3 linked regions of the Oryzias latipes genome follow. The protein of the gene in region 2 interacts with the protein of the main gene of each other region in a pairwise test. Links are inferred from orthologs where the notes say so. Each region holds a gene or a part of one and is shown on either strand. Other genes may lie near its edges.

Evidence for each region.
Region 1: the proteins of nr4a1 (region 2) and peroxiredoxin-4 interact in a two-hybrid assay, tested with the Homo sapiens proteins (2 studies listed by BioGRID and IntAct). The link is inferred for Oryzias latipes from reciprocal best matches to the Homo sapiens genes NR4A1 and PRDX4.
Region 3: the proteins of nr4a1 (region 2) and cdkn2d interact in binary tests that used the Homo sapiens proteins (3 or more experiments, as listed by UniProt). The two-hybrid records come from large-scale screens. The link is inferred for Oryzias latipes from reciprocal best matches to the Homo sapiens genes NR4A1 and CDKN2D.

The regions. Positions count from the first base shown.
Region 1 is NC_019872.2:14,033,036-14,036,986, forward strand, and holds the end of peroxiredoxin-4, read left to right. Parts: intron 1-2,798; coding exon 2,799-2,929; intron 2,930-3,024; coding exon 3,025-3,059; intron 3,060-3,334; coding exon 3,335-3,385; 3' UTR 3,386-3,447; downstream 3,448-3,951. UniProt on the Homo sapiens protein: Thiol-specific peroxidase that catalyzes the reduction of hydrogen peroxide and organic hydroperoxides to water and alcohols, respectively.
Region 2 is NC_019865.2:22,178,959-22,183,189, forward strand, and holds the start of nr4a1 (nuclear receptor subfamily 4 group A member 1), read right to left. Parts: upstream 2,827-4,231; coding exon 2,044-2,826; intron 1,941-2,043; coding exon 1,811-1,940; intron 1,568-1,810; coding exon 1,404-1,567; intron 1,313-1,403; coding exon 1,110-1,312; intron 1,019-1,109; coding exon 840-1,018; intron 451-839; coding exon 194-450; 3' UTR 1-193. UniProt on the Homo sapiens protein: Orphan nuclear receptor. Binds the NGFI-B response element (NBRE) 5'-AAAGGTCA-3'. Binds 9-cis-retinoic acid outside of its ligand-binding (NR LBD) domain.
Region 3 is NC_019859.2:10,441,388-10,445,516, reverse strand, and holds cdkn2d (cyclin-dependent kinase 4 inhibitor D), read left to right. Parts: upstream 1-1,305; 5' UTR 1,306-1,425; coding exon 1,426-1,650; intron 1,651-2,995; coding exon 2,996-3,349; 3' UTR 3,350-3,925; downstream 3,926-4,129. Other genes in the region: ap1m2 (AP-1 complex subunit mu-2), read left to right, coding at 1-10, 172-247, 342-367. UniProt on the Homo sapiens protein: Interacts strongly with CDK4 and CDK6 and inhibits them.

The sequences.
Region 1 (3,951 bases), on a different chromosome or scaffold from region 2:
GACTGGCTTTTTTTTCTGAAATTGGTCACTGAGACTTTTATATAGTAGTTTGTGTTCATCCATTTCAATTTATTATTGATGTTCATTACAGTTGGGTTTTATTCTCAGTGGAATAATAATTCATGGGGGGTACATTTGTTTTTCCCATGATTCTGAAAAAAGAAATGTTCCATTTAAACCAGTATTTCTGTGAAAACAGGTGTCCGTAACAAAACCGTGCCCTTAGAGTGGAAATTTGACATATAAATAAAATCAGAAATTAAATTGAGGTGTTATCTTTTGAAATTAAAAAGAATTAGGTTTAGTTGTTTGGGTAAGGAGTTGCCAAAGTTTCTTTATGTAAACCCCTTTGGTTCATTTTAGTTTTGCGGTTTGGTCTGTGTTTCACTTGAGAGATCAGAAGAGAGCAGACAGGGGTACAAAGACATGCAGCTGGAGGCAAATCAAAGAGCGCATAAGAACCTGTATGACAGGTTTGATACAAAGAAAGCAGAAGCTGGTTTTTGACAAGTTCCATAAGCATGATGGAAGGAGAAGTTTGAAGACCGGATGAATATGGAAAATATTTGGAGGGCACAGAGATGAGTTGGCTGTTGTGGAACAGATAGTAGCAAAGATTAGAAAGGATGAAGTGAGGAAGAGGATCAAGAGTGGAAAGGCAGATGGTCTTGCCAACATGCCTATGGAGTGCTTAGGAGAGGTGGCAGAAGAGTTTCTGACTGGGTTTTTTACCAAAGTCTAAACCAGTGAGAGGATGTTGAAGTGTTCTGGGGCCCATTTTTAAGAAGGAGGGAGGGAGACGTTCAGAATTGAGGAAACGATAGTGGACGAAAGCTGATGATTCACATAGTGAAGTTATGGGAAAGAGTAGTGAAAGCTATGCTGAGGTCAGAAGTAAGCATTTGTGAGCAACAGTAAGGTTAATGCCAACTAACAGAACCACAGCTGCAATGTTTGCTTTGAAAATGTTTTTAAGAAGAACAGAGAAGGTCAGAAGGAGGTGCATTGTCTCTTTGTAGATTTAGAGAAAGTCTATGACAAGATACAGAGAAAAGAGGTGGAGTTTGTACTAAGAAGTCTGGAGTGACATAGATAGGTGGGAGTTGTTCAGGGCAGAGAGCTGTATGATAGTAGTGAGATGTCCTTTTTGGTGTGACAGAAGAGTTGATGGTGGAGGTGGGACTACACGAATGATCAGCTTTGTGCCTCTTCTTGTTTTTGTTGTGGTGATGGACAGACTGACAAATGAGGTTAGACAGGAATCTCTGTGGACCATGTTTGCAGATGACATTGTGGTCTGCAGGGAGCAGGTGGAGGAACATCTAGAGAGGTGGAAGCTTTCTCTGGAAATGAGAGGAAAGAAGGCCAGCTGTAGCTAGACAGAGTATCTGTGTTTAAATGAGAGGAACTCAAGTGGAACAAGGAGCTTACAGGGAGCAGAGGTGAAGAAGGTGGAGGACTTTAAGTACTAGGGATCAACAGAGCTTTGTGGAAAAAGGTGAGAACAGATGAAGGAAGGTTTCAGACTTCATGTTTTTCATGTTTTTACAAGCAGAAGGTTTTGCTGTCAGCAAGAATGAAAGGAAAGGTGCAGAAGGTTTTGGTGAGAGCAAGTTGAGTGTTTAGACGGTGGCTCTGAGAAAGAGACAGGAGGCAGAGCTGGAGGCCACAGAGTTGAAGATGTTGAGGTTGTCTTTGAAAGTGATGGTTACATCAGGGCAAGTCTATCACAGTGGGCATTAAATTAAACAGAACTGGGGGTCAGCTTCTTATGGAGTCTCTGCTGCTTGATAATGATGGACACTGCTTTGAATGAATTAAGTTAATTGGAATTATTTTATTCACAAGCAGTGGATGGAAAACTTAACTTTACATCATATGACTTTACACAACTGAATATAAATTGTGTGTAATGCTACGTTAACACTGGGCATTTGACGCATGTTCATAAACGTGCTAAACATGCTTTCTTGAACACACGTTTAGCACATGGTATTTATACTGGTGAAGCAGGGAGGGGACTCTTATTTTTTTTTTATTCCTTTTTCTACTGTTAACTAACGCATGTCCACCACCTACAGTTGAAAGAGACTTGGTGGGAAATGTCAAAGCTGTGCAAATCGCACGAATCTTGCTCTAAACTATATTTTTTTCACAATTCTATTCTAATATATGAAAGACTTGTCATATAGTTCCGGCCAGGCATTTAGCACAATTATTAAATTCTCCTCCATGATCAATTAACAGACAGTTGGTACTTCTGTTGATTAAAAAAGAACGCCATCCAAACATCACTACGGAATCCGATTCTCTGATTGGTCAAAGTTCAACCTGGTTTAACTTGCAACGCATTTTCAGTGGCCATGCTTTTCGTATGTAGAGCCTAAAAACGATCGTAGGAACTTGCGTAGCGAAGCACGAATGCGAGAGTTTTTAACCCTTGTGCTATCTTAGATGACCCCATCCTTACATTGACGTGTTCTTCCTACCATGACAAAGGTGGATAAAGGTGGAAAGATTTCATGTAATCCATGGACACCAGTGAAGATCACAAATCATTGAAGAAAAAAGATTCAGAGCACTGTCTAGTGGGTCTAGATGACCCAACTCCCAACGTTAAAGTGCCTAGGATAGCACAAGGGTTAATGCAGAAGCCTGAAACACACATACGCACATTTACCTAGATTTTGCATTGAAAGTGATCACTTGAACGTTGCGTCACCAAGAGCAATGTGAAGGTGGCTAAATAGGAAAAGCAAAAAAAAGCTGCCCAATAGTAACATGTGTGCTTCTTTCAGGGGTCTCTTCATCATTGACAACAAAGGCATCCTGAGACAGATCACCATGAACGATCTTCCAGTAGGAAGATCTGTAGATGAAACCTTGAGGCTGGTTCAGGCCTTCCAGTATACTGACAAACACGGAGAAGGTACAACTAACACCATTTTTTTACACAATTTCTATAGTTGAAAATGAATACTTATAAATATATTTTTTTAATAAATTAATACTTTTTTTCCACAGTGTGTCCAGCAGGATGGAAACCAGGCAGTGACACAGTAAGTACAACTGTGCTCATGAATAATTCTATTACTGGAAAGGAAGAATGAAATGGCTTCATTTTTGAGAATGAGTCTGTCTTGGTTTGGCCAAATGATGAGCTGTTATTCAGATCAAAAAGCAAGAACAACTTTCATGTATTTAACCTGCACATGATTGTATCAAACATTGAGATAAAAATCAAATCTGGTTGGTTTTATCAAATGGTCATTGTTGTTTGCAGTCCTGTTTTTAATAAAATAATGTTTGTAATTAAATATTTTTCCCTCCACAGATCATTCCTGACCCTTCAGGCAAGCTGAAGTACTTTGATAAATTAGACTGAACTTTTAATTCCTCACTCTTTGAAATCCATCCAAATAAAGTTTGTTTTCTTAAAGTTCTGAATTTTTGGTCTAAAAAGCATGGTTAGTAAGTTATTGCATCATGATTTTTGTTTGTTTGTTCTTTGGCAAATTCAAGCTTCTTTACTCATCCATTGGTCAACCTCAAAATAAGACATCAGGTAATACCATCATACGTCAGTGGGGCCTAGCAATAAGGATCCTAACAAACATTTATGACTTACACTCTACAAAAACAGTGTATGGGTGCAGACGGATCATTAGGGTGAGCACTCTCTCCACACCGTTTTGATTTATGCCCCGAAGACCAAGAAGGATCAACAGTATTCCAGAGTCTCAAAACACCATTTGACCATTGGATTATGCTGACCTTTTTTATAAGAGTTGGTGGTTTGGAATTCATTGGATAGTCTACCATTCCAAAAGAAAACAAATCCACTGGTAGCCTTAGCTTTCACTCTTGCTCTTTATGCCCATACATACTGTACCTCTACTCATTCACATTATGACCTACTAAGGGAAAAACTTTTCTACAGGGGAGATTTTT
Region 2 (4,231 bases):
TTAACTATTCATTCACTTTGTGATTCAGAAGTGCTCTCCTTAACGCTGCAGAATCCCTTAGGATTATTATTATTCTGTTAAAACTCTTAAAGTTTTACAGGTATTGTGCAGTGTGAGCACCAAGTCCATTGTCTTTGGCATCCAGATAAACTACTCATGTTTTTTTCACAGTTGGTCTCTTTGCATCTGGAACTCAAAACGGCAGAGTTTCCATAAAGATCTTCTCCACGATTGGTGGGGGAGGAACCAGATCTTCTAGTTTGAGGTAAAAGATGCGCTGGAAACCTTGCGTGCACAGAGTCCTGAGCTCGGGCAACTTGCCGAGAAGTCTAGACAGATAATTGGGCCGTAAGGACTCTGAACCACAGCTAGTCACATGGTCTTTCAGGCAGGTGATGAGCTGGTTCTGTAAATCCTCCACCCGTTTGGGCTCCTTCAGGCCATGTCGATCTGTTGAAAAAAGCAAGACACTGTCAAATCTCATTTTACAAAATAAACACAAATAAAAGTACTTTCCACCTCTGAGTTTATCTCATTTGTGTGCACACTGTTGTATACTGTTTTTGTACAAACACAAAGGTCACTTAGCTAACCTCTCAAAGTGCTGTTACCTTACAAGCCTTGAGTCAAAAATAAAACCTTCACTCTGTTTCTGTTTAGGTCTCCTATGCCATCTTTACTGTGCTGTACGTGAAGTTATGCTGCTCTTTGTCATGCACCTGTCACATCGGTCTCTCATGGTTATGCTGTTTAGTGTCCCTGACAAAGAAACACGTGCACACTTTTTTGACTATAGCTAGTGTTAGTGCAGAGAAGCCTGAGACCAACAAACATCTCACCTGTGATGAGGATCAGGGCTGCAAGGCAGGAGAAGGAGGAGACATCCAACTTCATGCGATGAAGGCTTTGAGAAAACTCCAGGATGGAGTCGATCCATTCCCCAAAGCCCCGGACACACTGTGTTTTATGCAGGACAGCTCCGTTGCAGAAGATGAGCTTCTCCATTTTAGGATTGGACCTTTATAAATGGTAAAAAAGTATGTGTTGTTGTTTTTTTTTCAAACATTAAGAGATAAACAGAACAGAAACCAGAGGAGAATGGCACACACCGATAGGCAAGACGCAGGATAAAGAGTTCAACGAATGCAGATTCCACCAGCAGTTCCTGATCCTCCAAGCAGAAGTCAGAGAAACCTGGGATGTCCTTCGCCCACTTTCTGATAACCTCTAAAGAAGCCGTGAGGAGGTCGTAAAACTGCTTTATGTCACTCACGTCTTCCTTCTGGTTCGCGCTGACTTCCTTCTCGAGGTACTAAGAGAACATAAAACAAATGGGAGTTTAGCTTTATTCAAAGTATACAAAAACAGAACTACAAAAAAAGAGGAACCCTGCTTTGGCTTACCTTAGAGTAATCCAGATTTCCAACAGCAGGGTTTGAGTCAATGTGGGCCCTGACCAGCGACGCAATCATGCTCACTGGGGATACAATGGGAGTGGCATCTTTGACACCTTTAGGCTTCGATGGTAAGCGACCCCTCCGTCCTTTCAGGCTATCCGTTCTAACAACTGTAGAAAAAGGTGACATCAAGTGTTAGTCTCAAATTATTCATCTTCCCTGAATCTCTCTTCTCTATATTTGCTATGAAAGCAGACTCTTGTTTAAGGAAAAGAACAGTCCAATTGAACATTTTAAAGCTTGATGTAGAATCTATCATGTTTCATTTATGCTTGATATTAATGTTGCCATTAGCTTTAGAGTTGTTATTTTCAATAATATGATAGTACAATGAGGTATTGTACTTTGCATACCTTCTCTGACCATTCCCACTGCCAGACACTTCTGGAAGCGACAGAACTGGCATCGATTTCTCCTCCTCTTGTCCACAGGGCAGTCTTTGTTGGCAAGGCAGACATACTTGGAATTTTTCTGAACTGTGCGCTGTGAAAAAGAAAACAGTAGAGGAATTAGTTATTTTACCTTTTAAATTGCTATGTTTCTATGAAGCGACTAAGCCACTATGGACTGGTTTGTCTTTTCTTACCTTGAAAAAACCCTTGCATCCCTCACAGGTGCGGACCCCATAGTGCTGACAGGAGGCATTGTCTCCACAAACAGCGCAGCCGCCCTCACTTCCACTTTTCAGCTTGGGCGATAGACTTCCATCCCGCTGTTCAGCACTGTCGAGACAAAGGGCCTGTTCCATCCCCATAGCGGGAAACTGCATCGCAGATGGGTGAGGTTGAGATGCGGCAAAGGGTTCCTGCTCTCGGAAAAGTGCCTGACCCAAATGAGACATGTCCTCCACAGAACCTGAGCCAAACATGAAAAAAGATGGAGTATGTGGCCCTGAGGTGTCCTCAGTCATCCAGTATCCTTGACCAGGGGAATATGGCCCAAAAGCTGAATCCCAGTTAGACACATTCTGACTCTGGAACCCAGGAGTCGAAGGAGAAGAGGCGGACGCGGGGCTGCCAAAGTAATCCGAGCCACTGGGAGACACAGCCTCATCTGGGTAACTCAGAGTGAACGCTCCAGGGTAGCAGCCATAAACTTGGAGCTCGTCCAGCTTGAAGGGGCTTTCCTGGCCTGACGCTGAAGGTACATGGGCAGGGGTTGTAGTGAACTGGCATGAGTACGCATCAAAAGATCCCGTAGGTGTGCCCACCAAGGAGCCGATGCTTGGCAGGGACGGAGTAGAGTGGTGCTCCAGGGAGCCACTCATGTCAACGGCCAGCCTGGAGAGAAAGTCTGCATTCTGAAGCTCAGAGCTGCTGAAACTGCTCTCAGTGGGCTGACGTCCATGTCGGGGGTGTACGCAAGTCATGACTGTGAGACTGAGAGAGAAATGAACATGTTAGCTTGGATTTTAGGTCTTCAATGAGCTTTCAAGAACAAGCTTCCACTCCAGAGTGAAATGTTATACATAATGTATACACACAGCTCAGTGGAGCAGCTTATTGTCAATCCTTAAGATCCTGATTCAATTCCTGTGTCTACCAATGGAGCATCAGTATTTGGCTTTTCAAACTTCAATTTATACAAATGTTTTACTGATATATCAAATAAAAAAACCAAGAGTACCATAATTACTGCTGCTGTCATCTTTGTATTGAAAGTATTGTTTATCACAACCCTTTGACACAGTATCTCTGTAATTTAAGTGAATATTTTTAACTTGAATTTTCATGTTTCTTCCCTGTCAACCTCCATTTATAAGAAAATCCTAGAAAGTCGTGCTTGTTTGTTGGAGCAGTCATCAAATCCCACTTTATCATTTCTCATTTCCTAGTAATTATAGTAACGCCTGAAAAGTGCAGCGGGGTTGACTTTCACTCTGGAGTACACTGCCAAAACACGCATGTGCAAAATTAAACCAGCAGACTACTAACTTCAGAAGACTTCATCGACTTTTTAAACACGTGAAGCGATTTCAAAAAACATTAAACCGCATATGTGCGTGCAGCTGTAAAAGTCAGATGATTTGTTTTCCGTTCAAAAATAAAAATAAAGCAGTTCAAATAAACACTATAGGATTGATTTACTAAGATGCTTCTTACCTGTCTAGTCCGTTAAAGTATTTTTGTGAATTTTCTCCACTTTACGAGCGACCGTCTCTCATGATCAGCGTCTCCCAGCTGACAGGTTCTCCGTCCGGCTCCTCTGGTCCTCCCCGCCTCTCTTATACTTTTGCTCTAGCGTAGCACTGTCCATGACGTCATTTTCCATGCGTGTCAAATGAGTGGGCGGGAGATTTCCATGGTGCAGCCAATCACAGCACCTTTCGAGAGAACAGCGCTTTTGTGACGCACTACGGGATTCCGTTGACGCTCGTACGCCCAGAACCGCAGCTTTGTCCGACTTGACAGACACGTGCGCACGGGCGCGCGCTACTGATATCTAGGTAAAACAGAGTAGATCTGAATAAAAGTGGGAGGTTCTATTTAGCAAGTGTTTATTAACATTGAGCAAATGGAAATACAGGGATCTAACCCCTTTAATAACAATAACTCAGTTACTTAAAAAAACGCCTAAGTTTGGGTCAATTCAATTGCAAGTAAAAGCAAGAATAGAAAGCCCTGTACAAAACATTTAAGAAATTGTTCCCTCACATTAACAATTACCATATTATGCACACAATGTAGCATTCTGTAACCACAATGTAGCATTTTGTAACCACAATTTGACATTATATGGGCACAAGAACATTTTATTAGCGTTTTGTAGCCACA
Region 3 (4,129 bases), on a different chromosome or scaffold from region 2:
AGGAATTCAGGTATGAATGCTTCAAAGTGTTTATTATATCAGTTGCCAATTACTGTATTGTCATTAAGACTTTTAAATAGTTTTTTTTATGTCCATTGACTTGTTTTGTCTTTGCCTTCTAATCTATATGCGATAATAATGTGTCATTTAACTTTATGCATTTTTTTTCAGGTTCGGTATATGAAAATCATTGAAAAAAGTGGCTACCAGGCTTTACCCTGGGTGCGCTATATAACACAAAGTGGAGGTATACTATAATAATTACGTATATTTGATTAAAATTCAAGTATGAAGTAGACACTATCTGTGTTTTAAATTGTGTGCATTTGTTGTTGTTTTAGATTACCAGTTGAGAACAAATGCCTAAGTAAAGCCTGCAAGATGCTTTACTGCATATCTCCAGGACTTCCAGAAGAGCACAATGAATTTTACCTTTTATCTGCACCTGAAGAATTTCTTTAATTTACTTCTTTTTTGTGTGTTTTAACTGTTTTATATTAAATCTCCATGCAATTTGATTTTATTGTCACCTTTTCAGATCTTTTTAAAATTGTTGAAATAAGATTATTCCTCTGAAAACAACTTGTTTTTTGTGCACCTGTTTCTTTGTGAGTTGTTCCTTGAGGACTTTATATGCTGAATTTAGCAGCCGTGGTGTGGTTCACCACCGTGCAATCAGTGCCGGCAAATTCCGCCTAAAACGAAAGACATGAACCCGCCTTTTTTTCCACACTGTTGTGAAGAAATACAACCAAAGCGTGGAAATGTGAATGGACTGTCTTTGAAGAAACAAACGAATACGAATCGCCCGCTTTCTTCGCTTCGCGCTCTGATTGGTCAATCCCCACTGTTACCACAGTGATAACGTAGTAACAGAGTTGTAACCACGCCTCTCTTACCATTTATGGAAGTACAACGCCTATTGGGCCACCTGTGATTGGCCAGCATATCTACTCTCCAATGTTTGTAAATTGTCGGCTAGATCCACTACTGTTTGGATCTCAGCGCGCAAATGTATTTGTCAATGTTTATAAACTCTTCCATTTTGAATTGTATTTAAAAAATAACCGGACTGCGGTGTCGGCGGGCTGAAAATTCGTATCGAGGATTCGGATACTAACGTATTGACGAAGGTAGGATTAAAGAGCTCGGTTTTTACGGTTAGCTTTTAGCTTTTCTGTTAATTTTCATAACTCTCTGTCGATGTGACTTAAGTGTCGGCCAATTTTCTCAATAAAAAAAATATGGATTTGGATATTTTCTGCCGTTTGATTAGCCCAAACAACCAAGTCAAAAACAGTACGCTTACAGTCACGTAACATGGCGTCACCGTAAAAACTACAAGTTACGTTAGCCGGATGTTGTTGTTAGCTAGGTGTAGCCGACAGCAATCTTCCTGGCTTTTTCAGTCTTCCTCGTGCATTTATGTGTTTTAATGGCCCAACTGTGGTTGATTTTCATGGTGTACGGGGCGCGTGTGCTGTTGAACAGGCAAGAACGGAGTTTATAATGGTCCTCAGTCAGATGGACGCTGGCAAAGCGTTGACGGCGGCGGCAGCCAAAGGGAATACCAGCGAAGTGCAGCGGATCCTGGAGGAATGCAGGGTGCATCCTGATACCCGGAATGAGTTCGGCAGGACGGCGCTGCAGGTGAGACCTGTCACGGTAGTAAGACATTAGTCATCTGTAGGCGGTTGGTTTGCTCCTCCACTGTATTTACAGCCCGCTATAAACATAAAACTCTCAACACTTGTTTCTTATAAAATCTTCACATCAAAAAGTGAGCTAAATATTTTTTTAAACCATCGTAATATACAAGGAATTGACTCTGCGCAATAAATAAGTCGCGCATGTTGCCAAATTAGTTCAGTAATGAATAGCCGCTTCCAGGAAGTTGCGCTGTTCCTGTTTTTGATACTTTTCACAGTAAAATGTTCGACGACACTTTCTGTAATTTGCAGACTTGACTGTACCGGAAATCTGATTTAGGCAACGGGGGTATTTTTTTTTTTTTTTACATTTGAGCTGCTTTAATTACGAATAAAAACTGTAAACACAGTAACCACACAACAATTACTATTCCAATATTTAATTAACCCAACATGCAGAGATTTCAAAGTAAAATAGTGGTATTTGGGTGGGAAAAAGGTTAGAAATTGTCCATTAATATTTATTACTAAGTACTGTATTTTATTTAATATATACTATTTATTGGTATACTATGGTAAACTAGTATACTATTAAATATAAATACTATTAATACTAAATCATCAAACAAGAATTATTGTTTTATTATTTCAATCCTTCACTGTGTTATGACTCCGTATTTTTAGAATTTAAATGTATTGTTTAGATGTTTTAATGTATTTGTAAGCAGCCCAGTACTCCCTTGGAATCTTAATGGGAATATCCTGATTAAATAAAGGTCAGAAAATAAAATATATTACTATTATTGCTGATGTCTCTGGAGCATCAGTGCCAGTGGTGGAGATACTAGTTGGTGCAACTTTTTCCCTATTTCCTTCATGGTCGAGTCTGTTTATATACTTTTTTTTAATGTACACTTCTATTATTCGGTAATTTTCCATTTGTGTTTTTTATGAAAAAGAATAAGTTAAAAAAAACGTGACAGAAATATTTTTTTTCTCCCACTTTTTATTTTATTTAATTAGAAGATTGTAAAACATGTTAAGTCAGGCTACTTGACGTGATGATACTGCATTTTTATAGCACACATAAAAAAATAAATGCTTTAACAAACTGTAAGCAGAAAAAATGAAAATGTTCTTTTTCAGGTTTAGTGCAGATCTCAAAGTAAAAGCTGTATTTTATTTAGTGTATTTGTTTTTTATGACAGTTATATTTTTATTTATTTCTATCTCTTATTATGGATGGATTTTTCTTTTCAAGCAAAAGTGAAGGCGTTCTGTAAAGGAAGTTGCTGATTTGTGCATGAGGGCTAATAAATATGCATACAATATTTATTTTTGAACAGGTTATGATGATGGGGAACTCCAAAATAGCAAGCTTGTTGCTGGAGAAAGGAGCAGACGCCAACGTCCAGGACAAACACGGCATAGCGCCTGTCCACGATGCAGCGAGGACAGGGTTCCTGGACACCCTGCAGGTCCTGGTGGAGAATGGAGCTTCGGTGAACATCCCTGACCAGAACGGCGCCCTGCCCATCCACATTGCCATCTGGGAAGGCCACCGCGATGTCGTGCAGTTCCTGGCTCCGCGTTCCAACTTGAAGCACGCCAACCAGAGCGGTCAGACGGCGATAGATGTAGCCCGAGCTTCCTGTGTGCCGGATATGATGGACTCACTTTTTGCTCATATACATAGTTAGAAAAGTTTTCTTCTCACTCGTCGTCATTCTTCATTTTTTTTTGGCTTCAAACCTTGTGACTTGAACTCATTGCTGTGTAAAAGATTATTTTTTTTTGTTATTTGTAGCTCAGCATTAATATGTGACACAAGACATATTGTCTTGGCAGCTTATTTTCAGTGGATGGGTGTCTATATACTGTAGATACCTCTTTTGCACAGTGCAATTTAGGCACCTTATACTTATGCATATATCTGTTTTCCCTTTTGACTGGGAGTGCACATTTGTATAAAGTTTCCGCAGTGTTTCCTAACTATTTCTATTGTGTAAGAATTCATACACGTGTGTTTCTTTTTAAATTACAAAACTTGACATGGTGCACCCTCGTTGCTTTGCCTAGTTGTTAATCTGAATTAGATGTACTTAGACTTTCAATTGACTCTTATTTATTGTTGGACTGAACATTTCCTGTGACGTTGTAAATACAAACATATTGTGATTTGTTTAAATGTTATTTATATAAAAACTTTTACGGAAAAAAGTGAGATTATTCACTTTAATATTTGAGGAAAAACAATAAAAGTGTTGAACTTCAAAGCGAAGTGTTTGAATTTTTCTTTTTTTAACTGATACTTTAAGTGTTCATAGCAACAGGAAAGTAAATGTGAAAAAAGGGGAGATGAAGTTAAAAAAAAAAGAAAATCATGTTGTTGCCTTTATTTTTACTGATTTTGTTTTCTTTTTTTTATAAGGAACCCACCTTTTGTATTTTCTTTCCCCCCCATGGAATTGAAGAAGAGT